7 linked regions of the Ovis aries genome follow. The protein of the gene in region 4 interacts with the protein of the main gene of each other region in a pairwise test. Links are inferred from orthologs where the notes say so. Each region holds a gene or a part of one and is shown on either strand. Other genes may lie near its edges. The genes, in order: WDR74, CTSB, NIPSNAP1, RGS2, DDR1, LRFN1 and PRKN.

Region 1 (4,008 bases), on a different chromosome or scaffold from region 4:
AGAGTCGCCAAAGCCGTCGGGTCCGACTTAGCAACTAAATAACTACAATTTTAAAAATAGTGACGTGCACATATTAGAGAAGTTATTTGCCGTAGGGAAGATATTGAGTAGTGCTTCAGTTCAGTTCCGTCGCTCAGTCGTGTCCGACTCTTTGCGACCCTATGAATCGCAGCATGCCAGGCCTCCCTGTCCATCACCAACTCCTGGAGTTCACTCAGACTCACGTCTATCGAGTCAGTGCTTATTACACCTCTTTATAACGGGTAAGTTTCCTGATCTAGTTCCCTCTACTTGAAAACTGTAGGTGTGCACCGGGCCTTACAGCGAGGAAGACTTTCGAGCAGAGAAATAAATGGTTGAACGTCTCATAAAGGGAAATCATAGTATTTCAGGGAAAGAGATCGTTCAGATTTACTTTAGGGTCTGTGAGGGGCAGTAATGGTGGTTGTGGTGTGTTTCCGCATGGCTTGCCTAGAATGTTAAGCTCCGGAACTTATTGGCAGTTCTCCAACTAAGGTGGTATTCAAGATTGTTTCTCTGTGGAGGACAGATCTGCCAGGCAAGAGTGGGATGCTCTATGCTTACTGATATAATTTCAAGTAGCAAAGTTTCTGAGACTTTTATTTCAGACAAGTCATTCAAAGAAGGGGGCCGTTATGAGATTTTAAAGTTGGAGCTTATCTTTGGAAAAACTGTTTCTTTTAATTTTGTAGATCTTCATTGCCCATGGTGCTGTTTTATACCATCAGCAAATCTCAATGTGAGGAAATAAAAGTAACGCCCCTACCCTTCACTTTCCAAAAGTGAAGCTCATCGGTTTCATTTCCCCCAACTTTGTTCATTTTGTCCTATTACGCTTTAAGTTGAAGCCATGCGCTTCATTAGTGATTTGAATCGTTCCTTAAATGAGCTCTTTTCTTCTCTTGTACAGAAAACATACATTGCTTTAGAGCAGAGGAACAGACTAGGGCTGCCTGGATCCCATATCGTGGTTGAGATAGTATGCCTTCTACTCCAAATGTAAAATGGTCAAGTTACTGTTCAGATCTCCACAAACAAGTCTCCAGATTTCATTTTTGTAAAAAGCAAAACCAGCTAGCGGGGAGAATATGTTTTACTCTTCCGGTTCTTTAAAGGCCTAGAAATGGAGTTCCTCCGGATCCGACTAGACGCAGACTGGTGACGCAGGCGTTGCGCCGGAAGTGGGAGCCTTGGGTTCCCGAGCTCCGCTATGGCGGCTGCGGCTGCACCGTGGAACCATGTGTGGGTTGGCACCGACACTGGCATCCTGAAAGGTGGGTAGCGAGGTCGGGCGTCGGGAACTGCGGGCTTCGCCGTTTCGCTATTCTGACTCAACTGACGTCCGTGTCCCGCAGGAGTGAACCTTCAGCGCAAACAGGCGGCGAACTTCACGGCGTCAGGACAGCCCCGGCGCGAAGAGGCGGTGAGCGCCCTGTGTTGGGGTGCGGATGGCGAGACACAGGTGAGCGACCGCTGAGAGTCGGAGCTGGGAGTCTGGGGCGCGGCCGCCTCGCTCTCCTCGCCATCCTGTGCTCCTCTGCCCGCAGATCCTAGTGGGCTGTGCCGATGGGACAGTGAAGCACTTCAGCACCGAGGAAGGCAGGTTCCAGGGCCAGAGGCAATGTCCTGGAGGGGAGGGCACGTTCCGAGGCCTCGCCCAGGTCGACGGGTAAGACCAAACCCCTTGCAGAAACGCTCAGGTCGTAGCGAGAGCGTTGAGGCTCCCACTGGACGACCGAGTAGTGGCAATCAATCCTGAGGTGACATGAACCTGGTCTGCGTGACAGGGACGTTTTTCCTGCCTTCGTCCGTTCTTTCCTATAACAAACATTTATGGAACACTTATTCGGTTGTTTATAGGCACTGGGCAAAATCCAAAGGCTTAGGTAAACCACAGTATCTGCCATCATAGAGTTCGCTACTTCCAGAGTTTTGTTTTTTGGCATAATAACCTTTTGGATGACCCTGAGCACGTTATTTAATAGTTTGAAAGTAAAAGTGTTAGTCGCTCAGTCGTGTCCCACTCTTTGCAGCCCGCTGGACTCCTCTGTCTGGGGTTTTCCAGGCAAGAATACTGGAGCGAATTGCCATTTCCTTCTCCAGCGAATCTTCCCCAGTTTCCGGCACTGCAGGATACCACCTGCAGTGCAGGAGATTCTTTACCAACTGAGCCACTAGGGAAGTTTAGAATATGTTTTTAAATGCGGGCTAACAACCACTAACAAAGTGGCAAAGCTCCTAAAGAATAAGAAATGCTGGGTTGCAGGCTTAGTTTTCTTCTGAAGGTGAAGAGAGAGGCTATGAGCTGACTGTAGGTTTGGTGAGGTTAATTCTGACAGGTGAGTCTGGAAGGCTGGAGCGGGGGAGGAGGAATATTTGAACTTGGCCTTGAAGGTTGGGTAGAATTTTGACAGATGGAGAAAGGAGTAAGGGCATTCTAGAAGGAGGCTCCTGCTTGAGCAGAGGCCAAGGATTGGTGTGAGGCTACAGGGCACATCACAGGGAAGATAAACAGCATTTGGGGGTTAAAGAGAAGACTCTTGAGAGTCCCTTGGACTGCAAAGAGATCAAACCAGTCAGTCTTAAAGGAAATCAGTCCTGAATATGCATTACTCCAGTACTTTGGCCACCTGATACAAAGAACTGCTGGAAAAGATTGAAAGCAGGAGAAGAGAATGACAGAGGATGAGATGGTTGGATGGCATCACCAGTTCGATGGACAGGAGTTTGGGCAAGCTCCAGGAGTTGGTGATGGTCAGGGAAACCTCAAGTGCTGCAGTCAATGGGGTCGCAAAAAGTCAGACACAACTGAGCGACTAAACTGAACTGGGGGTTGAAGCCCAGGAAACTTTTTTTTCCCCCTTTTTAAAAATTTATGAGGAAGCATTTTAATATAAGATGAACGAGGTAAGTTGGGATTTAAGGCAAAGTGCTTTTAAGTGTCAGGTTGAGCAATCTGCGGTTTTGTAGGTAATGAGGCATGATTGGTTTCTGAGCAGGAAACACTGTGTTCAGAGCTGTGAGCCTGCAGGAACGTGGAGATGGATTGGAGACTGTTGCCACAGCCCAGGAAAACCCAGAGCCTGAACCTAGTTGTGGAGGGTGGGCAGATATGAGAAAAAGCAGAGGGCTTGGGCTGTACAGATCCTGGGGAGAGATTGGCTTGTCTGGTCTGACACCCAGAACAGGGAACTTGAGAGAGGAAGCTGGTGTTTGATTCTGACCAAACACTAAATCCAGAGCAGTCCCAATTCAGTGCTTTCAGAGCTCTGACTCCTGGTGACCACATCAAGAAAAACCAGCAGGGCCATGTGCCCCAGGTGGAGCTGTGGAATAGCAAAGACTTTGCAGTATCACAGTCTTGATTGCAGCTCTGATTCTGACATTTATAGCTAAGTGGCAAATCTTATAATTTTTTGTAGCTTCACTTTCCTTACTTATAAGACCAGTAAACCATTAGCTTGACGAGAAATTAAATAACAGCCATCAAGCCCCGCCCAGACCTGAGTTACCTGGAGGCTTCCTTAGGAACAGGGCTGGTAGGAGGGAGTCTAGTTCATATGAATTTGGGGGTGGGTCGACTGGGGACAGAGAATGCCATTTACCCCTGCTCTTTTAACTCTATCCTCCCTTTGCCTGCAGCACCCTCATCACATGTGTGGATTCTGGGATTCTTCGAGTTTGGCCTGACCAGGACAAGGAGGCATCCTCTGACCCAGTGAGATCCCCCCTCATCCTGATCCTGATGGTTGGGGAAGGTGGGGCCCAGGGTAGAGCCAATGAAGGCTTTGGAGGAGGAGGATTAAGGATCTGGAAGTGACTCTCATCTCCGCTCTCTCATTCTTTTCAGCTCCTGGAACTGAGGGTGGGCCCTGGGGTATGTAGGATGCGCCAAGACCCAGCACGCCCCCACATCGTTGCCACAGGTGGGAAGGAGAATGCTCTGAAGGTGTGGGACCTGCAGGGGTCTGAGGAGCCTTTGTTCAG
Region 2 (3,949 bases), on a different chromosome or scaffold from region 4:
AAAAAAGTCACGCAGGAAAATTAGAAAGAGAAGAGCAGGGACATTCCTGGCAGTCCAGTGATTAAGACTTTGCCTTCCAATGCAAGGCGGTAGGGATCTGAGATTCTTGGCTGGTTGGGGAGCTAAGATCCCACATACCTAAGTGGCCCAAAAGCCAAAGCATAAAACAGAAGCAATGTTGTAACACACTCAATAAAGACTTTAAAAATGGTCCACATCAAAAAAAAAAAAGAGAGACAGAGAGGAGAAAGCAGATAGGAGTTACAATGTCCCTTAGGAACTAGACACAGACTTGCAGAAAAGAAGCTGAAAGTTGCTGCCTGCAGAGGGGGCCTGTGACCAGGAGGGAAGGCCCTGACTCCACCACCCACCCTCCTCCCCACCCAAACACACAAGGCTGAGACAAGGAAGCTGTGGGTAGGGCAGAAAGCAGGTGGGGATGAGGCTTGGGCTTTAAAAAGAGACTGAAGCCAAATATTTATATGATGTTTGATCCCTAGATCCCCCTCCTACCCAAACTAGGGTAGAAGGTAAACATATCAGCCATGGAGGGACTCAGGAGTCATTTCTCAAGCACCTGGCTTAAGCAGCTCTGGAGTGGGCCCTAAGTGTTAACCAAGAAAGATGAAGACCCAGGGCACTGAGTGTAAACCAAGAAAAATGAAGACCCAGGACCAGGGGCAGAGTGACAACTGCCTCCTAATACCCAGTGAGTCCAACAAACACCTGCATGTTGCTTAGCTAGATCCATCAACCTGCTGTCAACCCCGACCACCCTACACCCGAGCCTGAACTCTATCAAGGTGCCCGATCTCAATGCTCCTTGACCTACAAAAAATCACCATTTCATACAGTTCAACCTCTCATATTTCCAATACTTGCCTTCTGCCAAACTGTCAAAAACAAACAGACATTGTGGGTTCTCATCCCGAAACATTTCAGTCCTTCTCTCCCAAGGACGGGGATATTCAACACAATCACAACTCATCACCACATTTAAGAAAACCACCCAACCAACTTTCCCAGGTTCACCTGAAAGCACTCTTCCTTCACTCCCCAATGCAGCTGCCAGTGGAAACAAAAGAAATCTTAAGCCCTAAAAGGCATGCAACTTCCTACTCCCAACTCCCAAGGCCAGCAGTTGGGGAAACAGCCAGTCCATAAGGAGGGCCTCGGCTCAAGCTGCTGAGTCAGCAACACACAGGCAGGTGCCTCCTGAAGACAAAGGGCTTCCACCTTCCGAAAAAGGGCTGTCCTGACCCAGCGGCAGCAGAGGTAATTGGAATCAGGGCTCTCGTCTGGTCCAAGTTGCCTCCCCCTGGGCCTGTGAAACCCCCAGATAAGGGATCTGCACCTTTCCACTTGGCAGCACCCCAGCTCTAGGACAGATGCCCCTAAGAGATTTGAGTGAATCCAGGGCACCTTCTTTGGGAAAGCCACAGAGTGGGGCAGCCCAACCTGTTTCTCCACAAAGCTTAAGGGTTACCATTACCAGCGCCAACAGGAAACAATCTTCCATGAAGTTAACAACGTTATGAGAGAAGAAAAGGAAAGTAGCCTTTAACCAATCCAGACACACCGCTAAGGCTCTTTGTCTTATCACCCTGCATCTAAAGATTCAACTGGATGGATGTACCTTGGCAGCTATGCCCCTAGTGAAGGCGCCTGAAGGGTTGTTTTTCCAAGGTAACCAAAGGGGCTAGGTCTCCCTTTGAACCCCATGCCCCTCCAACTGGGTATGGGTCTCAGAGGGATATGGGGCCTATCCTTCTCTCTGTGTCTGCCTATTGGCTTCCTCAGTGCCTGGGGAAGGGGTAGACCAAGGCCCATAAAGCAAGCAAATCCAATTCACATCTACCAGAACGGCCTGGCTGACTCCCAGATTCAGTCACCTCACAATGCTCCCTCTCCCAGACCTCCAGAGTCATCAGCGGAGGGGCAGGCGATGCCCCAGGGACTCTGCCCTGCATCCCCGCTCCCACAGCACCCTGGGCCCAAGCCTGACTCCCTTCCTTAGCAGTGCAGGGCTGGGGCCGCCATTCCACTCCCCTCACACTCCCAGGGAAGAGGCTGGCACCCCGGGCCCTAAAGCCCCCTGTCCTCCCTCTGCTTAGCTTCTCCTCCCTCCATCTGTGGATTTAACTCTTCCTGTAGGTCCCACCCCGTTCCACCCAGTTCCAGGTCCCTGTTTCCCAGCTCCTGTCTTTTGGGGTGCCTGGAACTGTGTGACTGTGTGCAGAAAGTTGCCCAGGAAAATCATTTACAGAAAGAAAACAACTAAGACAGATGTTGATAGTATTTCCTATCAATTCAGCGATCTTCTAAGAAAACCGAGGAACAGAAGCTCACACGGGGCTGGGGAGTCAGGCTGAGGTTTTCCAAAGTCAGCGGGGATCCAGGCCAAGCTCTTCCTCTCAGACTCCTCCCTCGGGTCCGCCGGCAAACTCCCCGCCTCCAGCTCTGGAGACGGCGGACCGTGGGGTCGGGTGACCCGGCCCGGGGTCCGAACAGCACCCGAGACGGGGCACGAGCTTCCCGGACCGGCAGTGCAGCCCGGCAGCCCGCGCGCAGAGCTTGCTTTTTTCATCACAACCACGTCCGGGAGGGCGCGATGCCGCTCGGTTCGCCTGGCTGCGACTCCCCGAGGGTCCCCGCTTCCAACGGCCCGGGACGCCGGCTTCGGCATCCCCTCGCCCGCCCGCACTCACCGCGCTCCGCCGCCGCCGCCGCCGCCGAGGGCCTGGGCCTGCACCCTGAGTGTCCGGGGAGCCGCTGACGCTGGTGCCTGAGCAGCCGCCGTAGCTGCCCGCAGCCGCCCCCGAGCTAAGTACAGCGCCGGGCCCCGCCCCGTGCCCGGCTGACTCGTCACGTGACCACACACTCCCCGCCCCTACTGGAGCGTCACGTGTCCTCCCGCGCCCAGCTTCGCTGGGGCTCTGCTTATACCCGGCGTATCTCCAGGCACCGGCTCGTCGGGGCGCCCGGGAGCAGGGTTTCTGAGTTCCTCCTGTCTACCCCCGGCGCACTGGGACCCTTGCAGAGAAGAAGGGGACTGCAGGCGGCCCTCGGGGCCTCACCCCGCCTGGCGAAATTCCCCGGGGCCGCCCTGGACAGGACGCAGCGTATCAAAGCCTCGATCCCTACTTGTGGGAAGAGGATAGTTTTTCCTTATTTCATTGATCTAGAAACCACTGCCAGAGATGGGGGCAGCGAACCAGCAGGCTTCCCAGAAGAGCCTTAAAAGGCTGTTAGCTTTAATAGAATGTCCCTATCAGATATGTGAGAATTTTTTTTTTTTTAAAGTAGTCCTCTGTTCATGGAATTCTCCAGGCAAGAGTACTGGAGTGGGTAGCTGGTTCCCTTCTCCAGGGAATCTTCCCAACCCTGAGATCAAACCCATGTCCCCCGCATTGCAGGCGGGTTCTTTACCATCTGAGCAACCAGGGAAGCCCAACAAGAATACTGGTGTGGGTTGCCATGCCCTCCTCCAGGGGATCTTTCCAACCCAGGGATCGAACCCAGGTGTCTCACGTTAACAGGTGGATTCTTATTTACCGCCTGAGCCACCAGGGAAGCCCAAGAATACTGGAGTGGGTAGCATATCCCTTCTCCAGGGGATCTTACTCGGGAATCCAGCCAGGGTCTCCTGCACTGCAGACGGATTCTTTACCAGCTGAGCTTCCAGGGAAGCCTGAGTTATTACCACGGAATACTAATTTCAAGAGGTGCATCAGAATTTCTGTAAAGGCATGACAGGCAAAAATCCATTTCGAAGAAGGGGTGCCAGGTGGCCTGTCCCAAAGAGGATGTACATAGCAAGCACAATGTTATATCTGGAGTTTACTTCAGGGTGGGGATGCCTGGAGAGCCTGATGGAGATGTTTGGGTGGAGGGGTCAAGTCCCACCCTGCTCCGTGAATCCACTGATGATCTAATGCGGATGACAACC
Region 3 (3,500 bases), on a different chromosome or scaffold from region 4:
CCTCGTGGGCCACCCCAAGGGCCGAGGGAGCCATCACAGACGTGAGCAGGGGAGGAAGTCCATGAGCACTGCGCAGAGAAGGACCCCTCTGGGCACCGCTGTGCGGGGGCGTGGAGGGCAGCCATCTGTGCTGGGGGTGGGCAGCTCACCTGCCTGGTCCTGCTCCCCGTACCACGTGTTCCAGTTGCCCACGAGCGAGCAGGGGTAGTCCTCATCCAGGTGCAGCTTGGGCAGCACGGCCTCCCTGTGCGTGGGGGGGCGTCACAGAGAAAGGGGAGGGCTCACACCAGCCCCCAGAGCTCCTGGGATAAGGCTTCCGACTCAGGCCCTCAGGACGCTAACATGCAGAGGCCGCACAGGACGTGTGGCTCTGAAACCTACAGCCCCCGGATTTGTGCACGGAGAACAGGGCCGGGACAGAGTCCCCCATCCAGGCGGGGCGGGGACGGGAGGGTTAGGCTCACTCACGTCAGGCTGTTGTAGGCGTCCAGACACTCAGGCTTCACATTGTGAACTGTGACAGAGGACAGAGAACGGGAGGTGAAGCGAGGGGAGGGGGTGTGGGAAGCTGGGATGGGGTAGCCCCCCAGGGCCTGGGCTCCCAGCACAGCTCAGATGTCCCAGACCCTCTTCAAGTCCCCAGCAGGAGCCTCGCAGGTCCCCGGGAAGGCAGGTCGGCTGACTCAGCAGCCACTCACACTGGATCTTATAGAGGTTGCTGGTCTCCTTCTTGGACAGCAGCGTGGAGTGGGCGTCCTTCCGGGGGTCCACCTTGTGTACGAAGAGGGACCGAAACCAGCTGCCTTCATTGTCCTTGGAATAGAAGCTGCGGGACAGAGGAGTTCAAGGGGCACCTGCTTCCGTCTGCCCAGACGCCGTGCTTCCCGAGGCTGGTGACCACTTTTCTGGGAATGGGGCCACAGAATCCCATGGCAGCTCCAGCGGATTTCATGTCACTGGAGCCAGCCACAGGGATCCTGGCTGCCCAGTTCGCTTCTTGAAACTCTGCAGAGCCTCAGGAGGCCACGAGAGGCAGCCCCACCTCCCGCCTCTCTCTCCAGCCTCCTTGCCTCCCCTTCACCCCCTTCCAAGAGGTCCAACACTTGGACCCTGCAACTGTATCCCTTGCCAAAAGGGTGAACCCCAAACACATCTGGCCTGGTGTCTAAAACCTGTGACAGCCCAACCTACGCTGGCAGCCTCCCCTCCGGTCCACCCCCGACCTGTACATCCTGCTCTCCAGGTGCGCCTCCCCCTGAACACACCAGATTCTTTCACTCTGCGCTTTCTTTGCAATTTCTGTCCCCTCTGACGAGAAGCCTGCACCCACGGTCCTCCCCAGTTCTCACACGACACCTGGCCCGTGCCTGATGCAGCCCCCACAAATGGAGCGCCTGAGACACACACGCTCTGTCTTTGAGGAGGTCTCAGTCCACTGAAAGAAGTGGACCTTGGAACACAGTTACAGCCAGAGGTCTCTGGGAGAGCCCAGATGAGTGAGCCTGATCTTGACCCCTGGAAGTCTGGGTGAGCTCTCCGATGGAGGTGATCTGGCCAGTTTCCAAATCTCCAGGGCTGATTTGGCAGATAAAGGCAGATAGAGGGGGTCAAAGGCATCAGAAGGCAAGATTCATTCATTCATTCAGCCAACACTTAATTGACAAATACCTGCCCTGTGCACGTGGCTGAATGAATAAATGACATGCCTTGTTCAGAGCAGGGGGACCAAGCACCAGGTCCTGCCAGATCATAACTGCACTCCCCCACACAACATCCCAGCCGGCTGGGGTTATGTTTGGGCTGCCAGAGGTGGTAAATCATTTTACTTAGCAGCAGCAGTGAGGCTTGTAGCCAGGCCTGAAATGCCAGCCTCCTGCTAGATGAGTTCCAGCCCAGGAGCCTGGCTGTGGGGGCCCCATCAGCAAGTTCTCTTCTTTTTCGAGCCTTTCCTATGGCTAGAATAAATGTCTTGCAAATCAAAGTATTGCTTTTCTCCAAAATCTGGATTGAGCACTGGGACTGATAAAATCTGAACAGCACCCTAAAAATGATGATATATTTGTATGAGCACAGAGGAAAGGTAAGTAAGGATTTGTTCCGAACTGTTTTTTTTTTTTGTTAGTTTGTTTGGTTTTGGCCACACCAGGAGGCCTGCAGGACCCTAGTTCCTTGACCAGGGAATGAGCCCGGGTCACAGCAGTGAAAACATCGAGTCCTAACTAGGCCACTGGGGAACTCTCAGCCCCACGCCGTTAATACTGCTTACCTGGGAGAGGGAAGAGGAAGATGGTTAAACTTTTCGTTATTCATGAAAATTTTTTGTAAAGCTAAAAAAAAAAAACAAACTTTTAAATATTTCTGAATTCATAGGCTTTCTACGGTTGTGTGTGTACTGCTTCATTAAAAGCAAAAAGGCACAAACTTCCCTGGTGGTCCAGTGGTTAAGACTCTGAACGTCCACTTCAGGGGGCTATAGTTTGATCCCTGGTCAGGGAACTAAGATCCCGCATACCATGCAGTCAAAAAAAAAAAAAATCTGAAAAAGAATATATATATAAAAAGTCATTATATATAAAAAGCCATTAAAAGTATATATATATATATATATATATAAATATATATAAATAAAGCCATATATATATAAAGCCATTCCTTTTCCCAGGGGATCTTCCTGACCCAGCGATTGAACCTGGGTCTCATGCATTGCAAGCAGATTCTTTACCATCTGAGCCACCAGGCAAACACTACACTTCAGTGTTTTAAAATTTTTAATTAAAAAAAAAAAAAAAGCAATTGTCATCAGATGGCCAATGCGGTCTGTGGAAACGGGACCAGAGCCTCACTATGGCTAACACTGGCTGAGGATAGCCTCTGCCAGGGACCCGTGATCAGCTTGTCAGTACCAGGATCCCGCTAAATCTACACAACGAGAATATAACGTTAATACTATTCATATCTCCATTTTCGAGACAAGAAAATAGAAGGTCATGGGTGGGAGGGTTAAGAAACTTGTCTGAGGTCACACAGCAAACGGGCAGAGAGCTCTGGAAAGAGCCTAGAGCTCTCTCCTCTAAAGCCAGCTCCCCCCTCAGGTCAGGTACCAACTGCGGGAACTAGCATCAGGGAGATACTCTAAAGAAGCAGGTGTTTTTTAGCAAAGCCACTGGTGGAAGGACCTGACCTTTGGTTTGAATGTAGAGAGGCTGTGTCCCCCAGAAGGGGTGGTGACCGAGAGGACAGCAACTCCTACTCTTTGTCAACCAAGACCTTTGCTCCAGGACTGGCCTTGAGTAATTTATTAACATCAGCATTGACCAAGATAAACAGCCAAGCGGCCAGCCCTGGAGAGAGAGCCTGGAACCTGGGTGCCAGGGAGTGTCCGGGAGCTCCCAACTCTTCCCACCTCCTCTTTCCTGCCTCCACATCTCGGTTTCCCCACGTGCCAAAAGAGCAGGGCGGCGCAGCCTATCTCCAAAGACCTTTTCTGCAGGTCCCAAGAA
Region 4 (3,989 bases):
CGAGGCGACCAGCTTCCTGATTCACTACCCAGCTCTGAATCAATAGTTCTGAGTGATGTTTCCTGAACACCCAGGCTGAATTCAAGGTCAGTCTTTTTGGCAGGTGACAGCCTTTCCCCTTTTAGGAAAAAAAATGAAAAGTCCTCCGTTTCTGGGCTCCTGCTTTCATCTCATGTGGCATGGGGTTCTGTGGTGATCTGCGGCTTTTTACACAAGTCCTGGTAGAATTCTGACTCCAAGAAACGCGGGTAAGAGTTGTTTTCCATCAAGCTGTACACCCTTTTCTGGGCAGTTGTGAAGCAGCCACTGGTAGCTTCCTGTATGTTTTGGGCAATCAGAGTTTTGGTTTGAAAGTCTATGTTGATCTGAAAGAAAACAACAAAGTTTTATTCCACATTAAGAGTCAGAAGTTGAAATATATGTAGTATTTGAAAACAAACAAAAAAACCCCCAAACTATAATGTGTGGCCAGTGTCACCGGCTAAGTCAGTGAAGAAATATAATTAACCTCACTGAGAGCCAGAAATAGGGGAAAAACAGCCTACTCACCCACCCCCCTTTAACTTGAGGTCTCTTTAAATTATTTTCACTTTGGTGCTGAGGATGTTCAAAATATGCTGAAATAAGGAACTTTTTCCCCCTTTACCTCTTTTGGAGCTTCTTTTTCTATGAAGTCAGTATATATTTTCTTTGCTTTTGAGGACAGCTTTTGGGGTGACTTGGTTTTTTTGAAGTCTTCACAGGCCAGCCAGAATTCAATATTTTCTTCACAGTATTCAGATTTTAAAAAAGCCCTGAATGCAGCAAGACCATCTGGGGGAGGGAAGGAAGAAAGCATGCAGAAACTGCATTGAGTGTTCAAATATTCCCTTATGTGTTTTCCTAGAAATCCCACTCCCCTGGTCCCATATTTTATTATTGCCAGATGGCAGCAATTTTCTTGAGTTTACTCAAACCTGTAATTGTCAAAATTTAGCTCTTTAAAGACTAAGATGCCAGTCAGCAAAATGCGTGAGTTGGCACACTACTACAAAAATATAAACTTAGCTTTGCTGTTAACACAACTGATAGGGGAGCCATAAGTTCTTTGGGAATGAAGCCGCTTGAAAACATTGTTTGCAATGGAAAAGCTGACTCAACCTTAAGAGACAGCAACTGCCATTACAATCTGGGGCTATTTCCCCCCACTCCCCACCTAGAGTGAAAAAGCCACGCATTTCCCTGGTTAATCACCGGGAAATAAAGGAGAAAAATAGGCCCCATGGAACAGGGATTGTAAAGTCAAACTCTCCTTGGGCAAGCTGCTCTTGCTGTGTAGACACAACCAAACCATACTCTCCTGATACTTGAAATGGATCCAATTCAAGAGGTTAACTTACATTTACTGGCTAGCAGCTCATCAAATGCTTCTGACCATAGCTGGGCTTCCTCGGGAGAAGGCCTGCAAAAGAAGTCTGCACATCAGCTCCTGCTAGCCAGAGGTTCCCTCTTCAGCTCAGCAGTGAGCTGTGCATATTGGCAAGCACAAGATTTTCAACTTACTTGATGAAGGTTTGCTGTTTGCTTTTCTTGCCAGTTTTGGGCTTCCCAGGAGAGGAGGAATTTTGCAAGAAGTAGCTCAAACGGCTCTTCCAATCTTTTAATCTACAAAAGAAAAAAAAAAAAGATACTCACTTAGCAGCAACACTTGAAACTGCCATTGCAGCTGAAGGCATTTTTACCAAATAAAGTCGCCCCCAGTAGCTATAGACAAGCCAAATAAGACAAAACAACTCCTCCAGTCAGTCTTACTCCTTTAATCCAGCATCTAAGTACTCAACACACTAGTTTCATCCACTCATCTGAACATAATTATTAGTTTTATAAGTAAGGATAGGACGACCTACAATTATAGGGTATTTTAATGAATTTAGTTTGCATAGTTCAAAGGCAGATGCTATTTCTGGCCCACAAAAGGCAGCCAGTTTTTCTGCAACGGTTAATTACAATTCTGAGACATTTCACACTTGAGGAAGCCCACAGTGGACCTGCCCTGAGCCAGCCCAGGCTCGTTTTCCTTCTGCTCTCAGAGCAGGGGGCTTGGGACCACCCGAGAAGCTGTGCACAATGAAGTGTGTGTGCGAGATTGACCGCCCCCTCCCCCAACTTCAGCACTCATTTTAAGAAGGTGATGCAGAACAATTATTTGTTCCACACTCTTGAGTGGGTGAGACTTGCTGTTCAATTAAAAAAAATTAAAAGTATATCTAGGATCAGCAAAAATATCTCCATCCCAGCAGTCGTGTAAGCAGATCAGAATTTACGGTGCCTCTCAAGAAGGCCGGGGGCGCGTGGCTGCAGGATTCTCCGAAGTCATTTTCGATGCAGGGAGACAAAAAGCCAACCAGCATCTATCTCCGCCCCTGCATCAAGAATTTTCTGCAGTTTCTAAACTCTACCCGAGTCCTTCAATAAATACCTACACCACACAGGTTTAAACGTAACTTCACAAATTAACCTTTTACACACACACACACATTTTTTCTTTTTCTTTTTTTCCTGCAGAGATGCAGGCAGGCTACCCAGTTCCCATGCCCAGCGCGAGTGTACCGCGTTTGCAGCCGCCCGGGACAGCTGGGTCCGCAGGGGCGGCCAGTCAGGGAGGAAGAAAGCCGCACTCACAGGGTTCGCTTCATCTTCTCTCGCTTCTCCTCGTTCTTGGGGCCGGTGCCAGCGCCTTTGTCCATGGGTCCGCAGTCGTGCTGGACAGCCAGGAACATAGCACTTTGCATTATCTCCCTCCACCTGGGAACGCCGCTCTGGGGAGACCGGACCGCCGGCACCCGTATTTATATAATTGGAGGCAGGGCGAAGGCGGGGCTCACGGCGCCGGTCCCTCCCCCGGCGGGCACCGATTGGCCGACGGCGGCCGCGGGCCGCGCGGTCACGGGCGCCGCCGAAGGGTCTGGAAACCCGGGGCCCGCTGACGTCCGCTTCCCGGGCGTCGTGCGCAGTCGGGCCGGACGCCCGCCCTCGTGTGGGGTCAGAGAAAATTCCCTTTTGAACGGTCAAAGGCGACCTTTGCCCAGTCGTGGCGGCCGGCCGTGGGGTCGCAGGGCCGTGGCGGGCAGGGAGCCAGGTTGGCTGCAGGCACGGCGGGGGCGCTCGCTCCCCGCCTCTTCCCTGTCTCATTCCCTCCCCCGCGCTCCAGAGCTCCTGACCCCCAAAGGAGCCGTGATTCCAAGCAGGTAAAGGTTGTTTATTGGGAAGCCGAATGCAGTAACCTTATTTTGAATTAGGTTTAAAAGGGGATGTGTTTTTGGAGCGCAAGCCCTCGCTCCGCGCCTCCTTTCTTGATGTGAGAACTGACCCTCACCTGTTCTTTGAGACGCCTTTTAATTTGGGGAAGGAAACAGAATGGGAGGAACAGTGAGAGTCCAGGGGCAGTGGTGTGATCTGTTCTGCAGCGTGCCCAAGCATCCTGGAGCTCTGTGGGGAATGCACATTGGTCAGGGAGGGAAGAGGAGAAAGTGCTTTAACTGGGTGTGCGGTTTTGATTACCAGCAGGTTCGTGGCTGGGTCGGTCCGTGGGGTTGCAGACTTATTTCTCAGGAGTCCTTGGCTGCTTCTCCTTCCAGAACAAAAAAAGAAATCACAGCTCTTAACAAGGAAACACCACGAGCTCGCAGCTATCGTGCACCAGAATCATTTTAGTGTAAAAGAGCAAGCATGCAGGATTTCCTCCTGAGTCACTCTTAGTTGGCTTAGAATTTGCCAGAACACTTTAATTGGCAAAAAAAGAGAGATGGGGGTGGAGGGAGGGAGGCGTTTACAGCTTCTTTGAATAAGCTTAATGTCTTGATTCGTCAGAAATCATCTTGCTGTAGCAGGATTTAAGTGGTTTGATTGGTAAGGGTAAGTAGATAACTGCCACTCCAAAATGACTTGAGTTCAAATACCGTTATTAGAATTGTACAGTGGAATATTCAGGTGGTTTTTCCTGAAGCATC
Region 5 (4,017 bases), on a different chromosome or scaffold from region 4:
CCGGTCCCCTACACCCCAGCCCAGCCTGAGGACCAGCTCCACCTCTCCCAGCCCGTTCCTCGACTTCCACCTTCCAGTTCCTCCCCACAAGCCAGCAAGGCCCTTCCCAGTCTCTCTCAAGGACCCTAGCGTCCAGACTCCGAGGCCCTGTTTCCCCTGGCTACCTGCTCAAAGCCTCAGCGTCCTCCTCAGGATAGGGCCCCCTCAGGCCCAGGCAGCTCTGACCCTGGGTCAGAAGGTCTGATCGCTGGCAAGGACGGGCCTGGACAGGTGAGCAGCGGGGGTGAGGAGGAGGACAGGGAGGCAAAGAGAAAATCACACAGTCAAAAAGGAGCGGTACCGAGAAGCTGGGTGCCAAGAGACTGAGTAAACAGATCCAGTGAGAGAAAGAGCAGAGAGCTGCTGGGTGAGGTGGGCAGGACAGAAGAGCTGTGCGGGGAGGTGTTCCACCCCGCTCAGGGGCTACCGGGGGCCCACCACCTCTCTCCACCCCCCACACCTGCCAATCACCTGCAGGGTAGGGTAGGGCCTCACGCCACTGCAGATCTCTGCCCCATTGCACCTCAGAGCAAGTAGACAGAAACTCACCCTACGTGCAGACCCAGACAACAGTCCCAAGAAAGAAACACGACGTCCTGGATAAGTACACAAGGGCACTACCAGGTAGAGATGGGCCCTTGGGAGAGGGGAAGGCACACATGGGCACGTACTCCAACCCCGGGTCAACCCACAAACCTTCGGGAACCCCAACTGCTAAGGGACTCACTAACAGACCGCCCCGTAGAATTGCCTCTCTGTCCCCTCCCACCAAAGCCCCAGGGTTCCCCGGCGTACCTTCCCCCTCCAGAGTCGGCCGCAGGGGAATCTGGGCCCGGAGAGGCCGGGCCGGGGGTGGGGCCCGCCGGGGGTGGGGCCAAGGTTTCCCGAGTAACCTCACCTGGGTGGACTCTCGGCCCCTCCTTCCCGGGGCTGTTGTTCCCGGGAAGCCCCGGGCGGGCAGCCGGGCTGAGCTGCCGCCAGATCCCTCAGGGAAGGAGTCACAGCCCCTCACACCCCAGTGGGACATTCCACACCCCAGGCGCACGCTGACCCTGGCCAGGTGGCATGGCGGTGCCAGACCGAGGAGTCCACTGCAGAGAGTCAAAGAAACCATAGACTCCTGAAACCCTTGCTCCCTCTTGTCCCCAGGAGACATTCCTAGTTGGTGATGCCCACCTCATCCCAGCCCAGAGCTAGAGGAGTGGGAGGGATGCAGGACTGGGGCCCAGTGGAGTCAAGTGACAGCGGAGAGGGGGCTGGAGCCGGCTGGAATGCAAGGCTCTGAGCCGAGACTCTCAGGGGCCAGAGAGGGAAGTCCCTGCCATCCAGGCCCCCAGAGTAGTACCCAGGACTGAGTGTATCCACACACCTAGTGTATCCACACAGCGGTCGGTGGTCCCCAGAGCCCGCCCACATCTCCCGAATCACTCCCAACTCCAGTAGGCCCCCATGTCCTCCTGAGCCCCCAGAGGACCCTCTACCCCTCCTCCCTCCACGTCCTTCCATTCCGGGCTTCCCTCCCCTTCAAGCCAATGGCTTCCTGCTGCCCAGGAAAGAGGAGGAACAGCTGGGGAAAATGTGAGGCGAAGCACGTAGGGGAGAGCAGCTCCAGCCTGCAGACCACCGGGCCACTACAGGGAAGCCCAGCAGGACCAGTGAGAGAGAGGATGGGCCCTCCACACAAGTTGCTGTCCCCTTCCTGGGAGAGGCAGCTGCCTCTGGGACAAGCAGGCTGGGTCAGCAGCTGGGGAGAGAATCCTCTGGGGGGTGGGGGGGCAGGGTGAGGGGGTGGAGAAGGCCCGGAGTGTGAGACAGGCCTTGATGCCACCAAGTCCACTTGGGAAACTGAGGCCTGAGAGGAGGAGGAAGAGATGATGTAGCACAGGGAGGAAGATGGGACAGAGCTCAGCTGTGGGCAGCCTGGGGGATGGAGAGAGACGAGGCCCCGGCAAGAGAGTTCTGAGAGCAGGGGATAAACTAGGCTGCGGTAGAGGGGAACTGGGGATCGGAGAGAGAAAGGGAGAATGAAGACAGAGGGCGCTCAGCAGAAGATGGGAAGACCAGAGTTTGGGGAGAAGGGCTGGGCAAGCGAGAGAACTGGAGTGGAGGCAGGAAAGGGTGGGAGGGATGCTCAGAGAGGAGGACAGAGAAGAGTATCTCCTCCTCAAAAGGGGAGCAGATACACCAAGGGGAAAAGAGGCGGCTGGAATCCAGAGATGGGAGAAGAGGAAGACCGAAGCATAGGGATTGAAAGGAAGGGACCTGGGAGAAGAGAAGAGTAAGGGGCTGAAATGGGAAGGGAAAACTAAGGGACAGACTAGGGGGACAGGGGCCCCAATTCCAAAGGTTGAAGTGAATCTGCCTCCGGGTGTCAGGGCACGAGGGTCCCAGAACTCCCCTTGGAAACAGCCTAGCCCTAGCCCATCTGCCACACCTCGGCCCCAACTCTGTTCCCCATCCTTTCCCTCCTCCCCACCCCGTGGGCTCGGCTGCACTCCCCTCCTCCCACCACACCTCCAGCCTGGACCACCCGGTCCCTCCCTGAGAGGGGAGGGCCCAGCGGCAGTCCCCCTCCTGCCCTCCCGGTTGGGCTCTGGCTTCCTCCCTCTCACCTCCAGCTCAAGGTTCTCCTGGGTTGCAGTCCCCCCCGTCTCAGGGCTTTGGGGTTCCGGCTCTGGGGCTGCCAAGGCCGCCTGGCTTTGTCCGCCCATCCGGAGCCCCAGGAGCAGCTGCCCGGGCCAGCTGCGGCCGGCTTCGATGTGACCATGGCAACGCAGCCCGCTCCCCTCGCCGAGCCTCCCAGCCCCCGCAGAGAGGGAGGGAGCAGCCAGGCCAGGGAGAAAGGGAGGGGAGGCCGAGGACTGTGGACCGCAGGGACCACAGACAAAGACCCCAGACAAAGGGAGGCGAAGGGAGGCCGCGAGGCAGTGAGGGAGAAAGCAGCAGCAGCAGCCTGAGGCTGAGAGGCAACAGGCATTAGGTCCTGCTGAGCGGGGAGAATCCAGGAGGACAAACGGACAGGAGGTGGGAGAAGAGATTAACAGTGGTCCTTCCGAGGCCTCCTTCTGGGTCCCTAGCAATTCATTTCCTTCCCTCAGGAATTCTCTCTTCCCTTCTGGGGAGAACAAGAATACCAGCATCCTAGTTGGCTACCCCCAAAGTATTATACGGTGAGTGGCTCCCGCCAGTTACACCAAAGCATAAGAAGCACCCAGGCCCTATAGGCACACTCAAGTTTTCAAGAACAAGCCCACTTTCAGATATTCTGACCGGTCATCTTTGAAGTATAAACAGCAACGTCAGTCAACATGTACTCTGATTCTTGACTTATAAAATATGCTCCCCAAAGCCAAAGGGGCCCGATTAGGCCTGGAGGGAGTGGAGCCAGGAGGGAACAGTGACAAGGTCTCACGTGAGAGGAAGCAAAGTACCAAAAGGGAAGGAGAGAGAGCCAGGCTTTGCTGCTGAGAAGCAAGGATCGAAACTGCCATCCGCCATCTGCCATCTAGCTCCTCTGGCTGAGTCCTACAGCCTCTCAGTCTCCTCATCAGAAAGATGGCATTAAGTACCCGATCCCGGGGTCTGCTGAGATGATAATGTGGGATGGCATACAGGCTCCACTGATGGAGACAACCATCAAAACCCCACTAACAGAATCTCCATCTGTGTCTTTTCTTATGGGTCACTTGGGTCCCTGAGTCCCACCTGCCAATTCATCCTACAGTTATGAAAGGTTTGTGCAGGGCAGGGTTCTGACAGTAAGAACTGCGAAGGATACATTGAGGAATACAACCCCCTCTGCATCCTCTGGGCATTTACAGTCTAGAAGGGGAGCCAGGCAAGTATATACATGTGTAAAATATGTATTTATATATGTATATGTGTGTGTGCTTGTATATGTACAGAATCACAGAAGACACCCTGACCCGTGCTATAGTCAGAGCTGGAAGGGGCTGTGGGAACCCAGGAGAGGGGCAG
Region 6 (3,500 bases), on a different chromosome or scaffold from region 4:
AGCTCCGCCGCCACAAGCCGGCGCTCAGCCGCCGACTCATTGGCTCCAGGTCGGCCAGGCGTGGCGATGTCCGAGGAGCCAGGCTCCGTGAGAGGTGGCGGGGCAGCAGGCGGGGGCGCCATCAGAGGCAGAGGCACCACGCACACCTCCACGGGTGCGGTGGCTTCCCCGGCGGCGTTAGAGGCGATGCAAGTGAAGGTGCCACTGTCCCGCAAGGTGGTGATGGTTACATCCAGGGTCCCATCCCCCCGGACCCGGGTCCGGCTCGAGTTCCCCAGCAGGCGCCCGTCGGGTGCCACCCAGTGCACCACAGGCTCAGGGTCCCCCACGGCGCGGCACCGCAGGCTGACGGCCTGGCCCTCCACCACCAGGGCCCGGCCGCCTGCCTGCCGCGTGATCAGCGGAGGCTCACACAGAAACTCCTCCTCGGGGATGGACCAGAAGTAGCGGTCGGTGAGATGCTCCGGCGTGGCGCACGTCTCCAGGTCGTCCTCCCTGGTCAGCCGCCGCAACCACAGCAGCTCACAGTTGCAGTGCAGGGGGTTGCCGCCGAAGCTGACCGTGAGCGGTGTGGGCGGCTTGGGTCCCGGACCTTGGGACCTCAGGAAGAGCCCATCAGGGGGCAGTTTATGCAGGCGGTTGGAGGTCATATCCAGGCGAACCAGTTTGTGAAGCTGCACAAAGGTCCCTTCGGCGATGTGATCGATGAGGTTGTGGTCCAGGGTGAGGGTGTTTAGGTTCACCATCTGGCCCACAGCCTCCCAGGGCAGAGCCTCCAGGTTGTTGTAGGACAGATCCAGGTCCTCCACGGTGGACAGGAAGGCGTCGAAAGCAGCCGACTCCACCCGGCGGATCTGGTTGTTGCCCAGGATCAGGTGCCGGAGGTTGCCCAAACCCCGGAGCTGGTCCCCTCGGACCTCTGCCAGCCGGTTGCTGTCGAGGTGCAGGGCGCGGAGGGCGCGCAGGTCCGCAAAGGCGCCGGCCGCCACCTGGCCAATGGTGTTCCGGGAGAGGGTGAGGTGCACCAGGCTGGTCATGTTGGCGAAGTCTCGGCGGCGGATGGCCGCGATAAAGTTGTCGGTGAGCCGCAGCTCCACCACGCGCCGGTCGATAGCGGGCGGCACGAAGAGCAAGCCAGTCTTGGCGCACAGCATGGTCAGCGTGGGCGCCACGTTCTGGCAGATGCAGCGGCCAGGGCAGGTCTGGCCCCGTGATGCCCCTGCCCAGAGGAGCAGCAGAAAGGGCAGGGCAGTAGGCGGCAGCGAGAGGAGCACTGAGAAGGGGCCCGGAGCCATGGTGCAGGGGGGAGGCGGGAGGAGCGGGAGGTGAGATCTGCAAGGAAGGAGAAGGGTCAGCCAGGCGTAGGGCTTGACCACCTGCCTGGCCACCCTGGGATGTCCCGCTCGGAGTCTGACCCACATCTGTCCCTTCCTGACAACGGGGTCCTGCAGGACAGTGACAGGACTGATCCTCAGCTGGCATGCACTTGTGAACAGATCACATCACTTCCACGCTGCTTGGTAAATTACCACTGCCCCACCTCTGAGTGTCTAACCCCCGCCTCTGCCCCTCTTCCAGGAGCTCCCAGACCTCTCATGACCTCTCAACCAGAGGGATGACATCTGGCCTGGCCTGCGCCTTCTAGTACCCACTAAATATTTTGAAAAATCACTGCTGACTGGGGTTTAAAGTCATGGATTTCAAAGCCATACTCCCTGGGTTTAAATCCCAGCTCTGACACTTACTAGCTGTGTGATCTTGGGCAAGTGTCTGAACCTCTCTGAATCTCGGTTTCTTCATCTGTAAAACGGAGACAAAAACAGGCCTTACCTCTGTGAGGATGAACTGGATTAATGAGCATGGTATACTCAGAACAGTGCCTGGCACATAAAATGTGTTCAATACATGTTAGTGTGTAACTATTATCATCATCGTCATTGAGCGTCCAGTAGGTGCCATGCATATAAATGTGCGCTACTATTAAGAGCAAGGGCTTTCAAATCAAATAGACTCGGGTTCAAGTCCTGGCTCCCCCAACTTACTAACTCTGTGACCCAAACTGATGATTTTCCCGAACTAGGCCATAATTTCCTGATTTGTAAAGTGGTCTGATAATTGTACTATTGTCACTGGATTGTTGCAAGAGTTCAGTGAGCTCATTCATAGGGGTCACGGAGCATAGGGCCAAGCACACAGTACATATTCAATAAATGTTAAGGGTAACACCCCCACACACACCTTTGGCAGTGGGGAATGGGGGTTGTACTGAAGGTGGGAGGGGCTGAGAAAATACCAGTCTCCCTGCTCAGTCTTGGGAAGTCCTTCTCTGAGCCTGGTTTCCTTCTGGCCTCTGCTGAGGGCCCAAGCTGGGGGCAGACTTTCATGCTCACATTAATAGGCACAACACAAGGCCCTATACATGCCTACACACACAGACACACACACACACACACACACACACACAGTCAGGCTGTGCCTCTGCTCCAGGCAAAACCTTCCGGCTGGGATTCCCCCTGCGGCAGCTGCAGCCCACGACATGCCAGCTCCCATCACAACACGGGGTGGGTGGGGGGTGAAGAGGAAAGGATGGGAAGGGGGTGTCCCTGACACTGTTTTCACCCCACCCCATGCCCCAGTCCCTGCTGGCCCACCTCCCAGGAATCTGCAGTTTGGGGCTGTGGCCTCATATGGCCCTGATCCTTCAGCCCACGGGTAAAGGGGGACTGTGGACACAGAGAAGGGACCAAGAGAGTCAGAGAGAGACAAGGGGGAGGGAGGGATGAACTGGCAGACACAGAGAAGGATTCAGAGAGAGACAGAAAGAGACAAGAGAAAGAATCTGAAAGACAGGTGAAGAGACAGGGAGCAAGTCGGTGGCAAAGGGAGAAAAATTGAGTGGAGGAGACCCACACAGAAAAGAGAGACTGAGACAACGAGTTGGAGAGAGGGAGAGACAAGAAGAGAAAATAAGAGTGTTACACAGACGAAGACCAGAAGAAAGAGACTGAAGAAGACAGTGATGCGGCTGAAAAAAGAAAAAGAGGCAAAGTCAGAGCATCGCTTCACCTCTGAGCGACGCCCCCCCACCACCACCACTAATGTTGTGCACTCCCTCTGGGACACTGCTCTACCTCCCGACAGGAAATCCTGGCCTGGGAGGTGGTGCTCCTGAAGTAGGAGACGCAGCTCTGCACCTGCATGGCTCTAAGCTCTCTGGGGCTCAGAACCACTATCTATGAAACCAGAAGGCCCGCAGTGAGGGTGGAACTCAAGTTGAAACAGTGTAATACTAACAATAAAAACAGCTAACATTTCTGGAGAGGCAGCATGGCATTGCAGGACAGAATCTGGCCCCCAACTGCCCAGGTTCACACCCCAATTCCCTGCCATGTGACTTCCTCCCTTTGGGCCTCAGTGTGTTCATCTGTCAAATGGGGATGACAGCATAGGGTTATTGTGAGGATTAAATGAGATAATCCACTGTAACATGCTTAGAGTAG
Region 7 (3,500 bases), on a different chromosome or scaffold from region 4:
GATTCTCCAGGCAAGAACACTGGAGTGGGTTGCCATTTCCTTCTCCAATGCAGGAAAGTGAAAAATGCAAGTGAAGTCGCTCAGTCATGTCTGACTCTTAGTGACCCCATGGACTGCAGCCTACCAGGCTCCTCCATCCACAGGATTTTCTAGGCAAGAGCACTGGAGTGGGGTGCCATTGCCTTCTCTCGACATAATGTTCAGGGAAAGAAATTCACTACATAAAATTGCATTTTCACACCGATTACAACTGTATCAAAGTCAGCCATGCGCACAGTCAAGGGCTGTGAAAGGCAGGACACAGTGCGGAAGCTGCTGCTCCTCCATGAACTCCCAGTCTCTCCTTCCCTCCATGACCAGACGAGCTGTGCCTGTGACAAAGCCCGCGATTCACACTGAACCCCTGCAAGCTGACTTTCTCCAGCTACAGTCCTGGCCCGAAAGCCCCTAAGTCACCACCACTGTCACCAAGCCCAAAGGCTCTTTGCTTCCTTGTCCTCCATGTTTTCACGGCACATACATTCTTTACTAGTGATTTTCTTTCCCCAAATTATCCATGAAAATGCCAGCTGGATGCACAATGCCTCGTATATCGGCTCCTCTCCTGTTACCGGAGGAACTGCTCGTGCCGTACGCTCTGCACCCCGGCAACTGAATCTGTTCCAGTCACTGCGGTACTTACCTCCATGCAGAGAGTGCTCAGAGCAAGCCCTGAGCTCCCCACCTCAGTGTGACTGCCTGCCAGCATCTCCCCCTGGCATTAACTCTTGCAATCTGGGAAACTCCCGCCAGTGGTGAACCGGCATTTCCAGACTCGCTTTTCCCTCCATGGCATCCTATTTTGTTCTCCATCTCCTCGCATGAAACGTCAATGTCACATGGGTCAAAGCTTTCTAAAACACAGCTCCCAATTCCCCTGTCACACACCTTCAGCACCTCCTCTAGGTTCTACAGGAATAGGACCCTTTGCTTGCTCCCACACACCTCTCACGCTCATTCTTCATCTCCAGAATCCTACTTGAGTTTCAACTCACCCTGAAGTCTTTATTGGTGACATTCACTCAGCTGTTTCTCCTACATCTTTAAAATTTCATAATACTTATATTTCAGTTTTTATATGGCAGTTATCGTGTTTGACACCCTTATGTTATAGCTATTAGTTTGAGCCCCATGAAACTGCTGATATTTTTAACCTATGTAGTTCAATCTAGTATTACTGTTGATTTTAGAGGGCCTAAGTCAACAGCAGTCTCTAAGAAAATAGCAGTGGGTACTGACTTTCTTTGGGATCCTCTCAGAAGCCCAGAATACTGGAAGTGTTGTGAAAATCAAGAATCTTAATGAACCCATCCAGATATCTATATTTGTATCTATCCATCTGTAGAAATCAACTGTCTATAGTAATTGGTATAACCTATCACCTCCAGCGGTAGAGGTGAGAAACTTTAGAACCTGAAAACTTCGGATAACAAAATATTTTGGTTCAAGAAGCTGTTTTAAAATAATTTATGATGGGAACATCCTTGGTTTTAGAGCTTGGCAGGTACAGTAAAAAAAAGCTTTCTAGGTGACTGAAATTTAAAAAAAAAAAAAAAAAAAAAAAACACCAAAACACTTTTCAGCACAGGTGCTTCCCTTATAAACACAAATTGCCTAAAAGCAAAGCACAGCACCCTGTGTGCACGGAGCAGAGCAGACTGCTGTCAGAGAAGGGGTGCTGGAGAAGAGGGGGCAATTCACATTTCCATAGGGCTCTCTTACACCCAGATCCGAAAGCCTTTCTTAAAGCAGTAAACATCATCACCAAAAAGAGACAGCCATAGGATGTCAATAAAGTAGGGACTGGGTAAAGACACAGCACCCCACCACCACCACTGTTCACAAGAGCAGGCCCCCAAACAGCTGCAGGCAGAAATGCAACTCATCTGAGCTGGTGAAAAAAGGGGGACGCGGGGAATGTGTTTGGGGTTCTTCAGGATCACCTGAACAGTTCACAGAAAGCAAGTGGGTTTTCATACTTTCTCAGAGAGTGACTTCAATCCGTATTGGGGCCTGTTTGCTGGCTTCCCCAACACAAGACTGGTCTCCACTCCCAGAGGAAGGCACTGCTCCCCAATGGCCTGCCCAGTTCACCTCTTCCCCTGCGGAAATACCAGCTGGGAATGAAGCCCCACCCCCACTCCATGAAAAGATACAGCGCTGTGATGCTATGAGGAGCCCCACGGTGCCAGGAAAGCGTCAGGGACAGGAGAGTAAAACACTGGCTGCACCCTCCCCAACATTTCAGCGGCCCATTCTGGGGAACTTGTTACTGAAACTTGGAGAAATTAAACACACAGGTTGACGTTCGCGGTGCGTGCGTCCTCCTCCCCGCCGCCTCGGGCGCTGATGGGCAGGGAGCTCGCGAATCTGCTCCAAGGCCCTGAGCCCCAAAACCTCCTCCCATCCTGAGCTGCGGCGGCAGACCCGGGACCATCCTCCAGGGGTCACAATTGGGTTGCAGATCCCTCCCGGCACAGTGACTGAGCAGCCGGATCTGGGACAATTTCTGTGACTCCTTCATTAAGATTCAAGTGGAATAAGTACGGTAGAAATTGAACAGACCCAGAAACGGTGCCTTGCTGCTCCTCTAGTCAGTAAACATTTATTCACTAAGCCCAGTCTGTGTGCTCGCTCTCTCTCTCTTCTCTCTCCCAGTCACAGTTGTTCTCCAATCCGTACCTGCTTGCTGTTTTAATGCATAATTAAGAAGGTCAGAATTAATGAAGCGGTGTGGAGTAAAGTTCAAGGAATCCCTAGGCACTATTTATTCTATTAGATCTCAGGCATGAATGTCAGCTTGGCTGCGCAAGCGGCATAAGCAATGGGGCTGGCCGCAGCCCAGGAACCCTCCGCCCAGGGAGACTCACCTGCACTGTCAAGCCATTCCGAAGCTCCTTCCCTGCGAAAATCACACACAGCTGGTCAGCTGGAACCCCCTGTCGCTTAGCAACCACCTCCTTGAGCTGGAAGATGCTGGTGTCAGAATCGACCTCCACTGGGAACCCGTGGTTAGAGTTGAACCTGACAAACACTGGACCAAAAAAAAAAAAAAACAACACACGAAGCTTTAGTCAAAACCCTTAAATGGCAATTGCATTTAATGGCAATCCTTAATGGCAGTGCAATATTTCTGAATTGATTTGCCCCTCTCCTGCCCTTTGATAAGCAGTGTGCATTTTCTTTCACTTATAAAGCTTAAGGCTATGGAGCAACATTTGGAGAAAAATGGAGTTATCCTATGGGATTTCCCTTTCATATATTAGGCAGTGACCCACAAACAAAATTGCATGCTCCCTTTGACATCGTCCTGCGAAACAGGGGGACTCAAGCAGAACACTTGCTTGATTGGAATTGTGAGATTCCCAAGAGTTTATCCAGGAGATTCAGCTCTGACAGCCTGTACAAACTCACACTGCCTCTACGGCATCCCCCTTAATAAAAAATCAAAGGCGTCATGT

The links.
Region 1: the proteins of RGS2 (region 4) and WDR74 interact in a two-hybrid assay, tested with the Homo sapiens proteins (2 studies listed by BioGRID and IntAct). The link is inferred for Ovis aries from reciprocal best matches to the Homo sapiens genes RGS2 and WDR74.
Region 2: the proteins of RGS2 (region 4) and CTSB interact in a two-hybrid assay, tested with the Homo sapiens proteins (2 studies listed by BioGRID and IntAct). The link is inferred for Ovis aries from reciprocal best matches to the Homo sapiens genes RGS2 and CTSB.
Region 3: the proteins of RGS2 (region 4) and NIPSNAP1 interact in a two-hybrid assay, tested with the Homo sapiens proteins (2 studies listed by BioGRID and IntAct). The link is inferred for Ovis aries from reciprocal best matches to the Homo sapiens genes RGS2 and NIPSNAP1.
Region 5: the proteins of RGS2 (region 4) and DDR1 interact in a two-hybrid assay, tested with the Homo sapiens proteins (2 studies listed by BioGRID and IntAct). The link is inferred for Ovis aries from reciprocal best matches to the Homo sapiens genes RGS2 and DDR1.
Region 6: the proteins of RGS2 (region 4) and LRFN1 interact in a two-hybrid assay, tested with the Homo sapiens proteins (2 studies listed by BioGRID and IntAct). The link is inferred for Ovis aries from reciprocal best matches to the Homo sapiens genes RGS2 and LRFN1.
Region 7: the proteins of RGS2 (region 4) and PRKN interact in binary tests that used the Homo sapiens proteins (3 or more experiments, as listed by UniProt). The link is inferred for Ovis aries from reciprocal best matches to the Homo sapiens genes RGS2 and PRKN.

Annotation. Positions count from the first base shown.
Region 1 is NC_056074.1:37,680,990-37,684,997, reverse strand, and holds the start of WDR74 (WD repeat-containing protein 74), read left to right. Parts: upstream 1-1,208; 5' UTR 1,209-1,231; coding exon 1,232-1,295; intron 1,296-1,376; coding exon 1,377-1,483; intron 1,484-1,568; coding exon 1,569-1,690; intron 1,691-3,663; coding exon 3,664-3,739; intron 3,740-3,871; coding exon 3,872-4,008. UniProt on the Homo sapiens protein: Regulatory protein of the MTREX-exosome complex involved in the synthesis of the 60S ribosomal subunit. Participates in an early cleavage of the pre-rRNA processing pathway in cooperation with NVL.
Region 2 is NC_056055.1:105,603,799-105,607,747, forward strand, and holds the start of CTSB (cathepsin B), read right to left. Parts: upstream 2,801-3,949; 5' UTR 2,709-2,800; exon of another isoform or gene 1-2,708. UniProt on the Homo sapiens protein: Thiol protease which is believed to participate in intracellular degradation and turnover of proteins. Cleaves matrix extracellular phosphoglycoprotein MEPE. Involved in the solubilization of cross-linked TG/thyroglobulin in the thyroid follicle lumen.
Region 3 is NC_056070.1:68,751,973-68,755,472, forward strand, and holds part of NIPSNAP1 (protein NipSnap homolog 1), read right to left. Parts: intron 2,537-3,500; exon of another isoform or gene 2,328-2,536; coding exon 2,267-2,327; intron 827-2,266; coding exon 699-826; intron 515-698; coding exon 469-514; intron 245-468; coding exon 150-244; intron 1-149.
Region 4 is NC_056065.1:11,623,249-11,627,237, forward strand, and holds the start of RGS2 (regulator of G-protein signaling 2), read right to left. Parts: upstream 2,801-3,989; 5' UTR 2,772-2,800; coding exon 2,662-2,771; intron 1,645-2,661; coding exon 1,543-1,644; intron 1,442-1,542; coding exon 1,380-1,441; intron 814-1,379; coding exon 647-813; intron 366-646; coding exon 171-365; 3' UTR 1-170. UniProt on the Homo sapiens protein: Regulates G protein-coupled receptor signaling cascades. Inhibits signal transduction by increasing the GTPase activity of G protein alpha subunits, thereby driving them into their inactive GDP-bound form.
Region 5 is NC_056073.1:27,303,902-27,307,918, forward strand, and holds the start of DDR1 (epithelial discoidin domain-containing receptor 1), read right to left. Parts: upstream 2,801-4,017; 5' UTR 2,751-2,800; coding exon 2,652-2,750; intron 1,131-2,651; exon of another isoform or gene 938-1,130; intron 868-937; exon of another isoform or gene 511-867; intron 263-510; exon of another isoform or gene 1-262. UniProt on the Homo sapiens protein: Tyrosine kinase that functions as a cell surface receptor for fibrillar collagen and regulates cell attachment to the extracellular matrix, remodeling of the extracellular matrix, cell migration, differentiation, survival and cell proliferation.
Region 6 is NC_056067.1:48,380,103-48,383,602, forward strand, and holds part of LRFN1 (leucine-rich repeat and fibronectin type III domain-containing protein 1), read right to left. Parts: intron 1,801-3,500; 5' UTR 1,746-1,800; intron 1,333-1,745; 5' UTR 1,296-1,332; coding exon 1-1,295. UniProt on the Homo sapiens protein: Promotes neurite outgrowth in hippocampal neurons. Involved in the regulation and maintenance of excitatory synapses. Induces the clustering of excitatory postsynaptic proteins, including DLG4, DLGAP1, GRIA1 and GRIN1.
Region 7 is NC_056061.1:85,693,519-85,697,018, forward strand, and holds part of PRKN (E3 ubiquitin-protein ligase parkin), read right to left. Parts: intron 3,074-3,500; coding exon 2,910-3,073; intron 1-2,909. UniProt on the Homo sapiens protein: Functions within a multiprotein E3 ubiquitin ligase complex, catalyzing the covalent attachment of ubiquitin moieties onto substrate proteins. Substrates include SYT11 and VDAC1.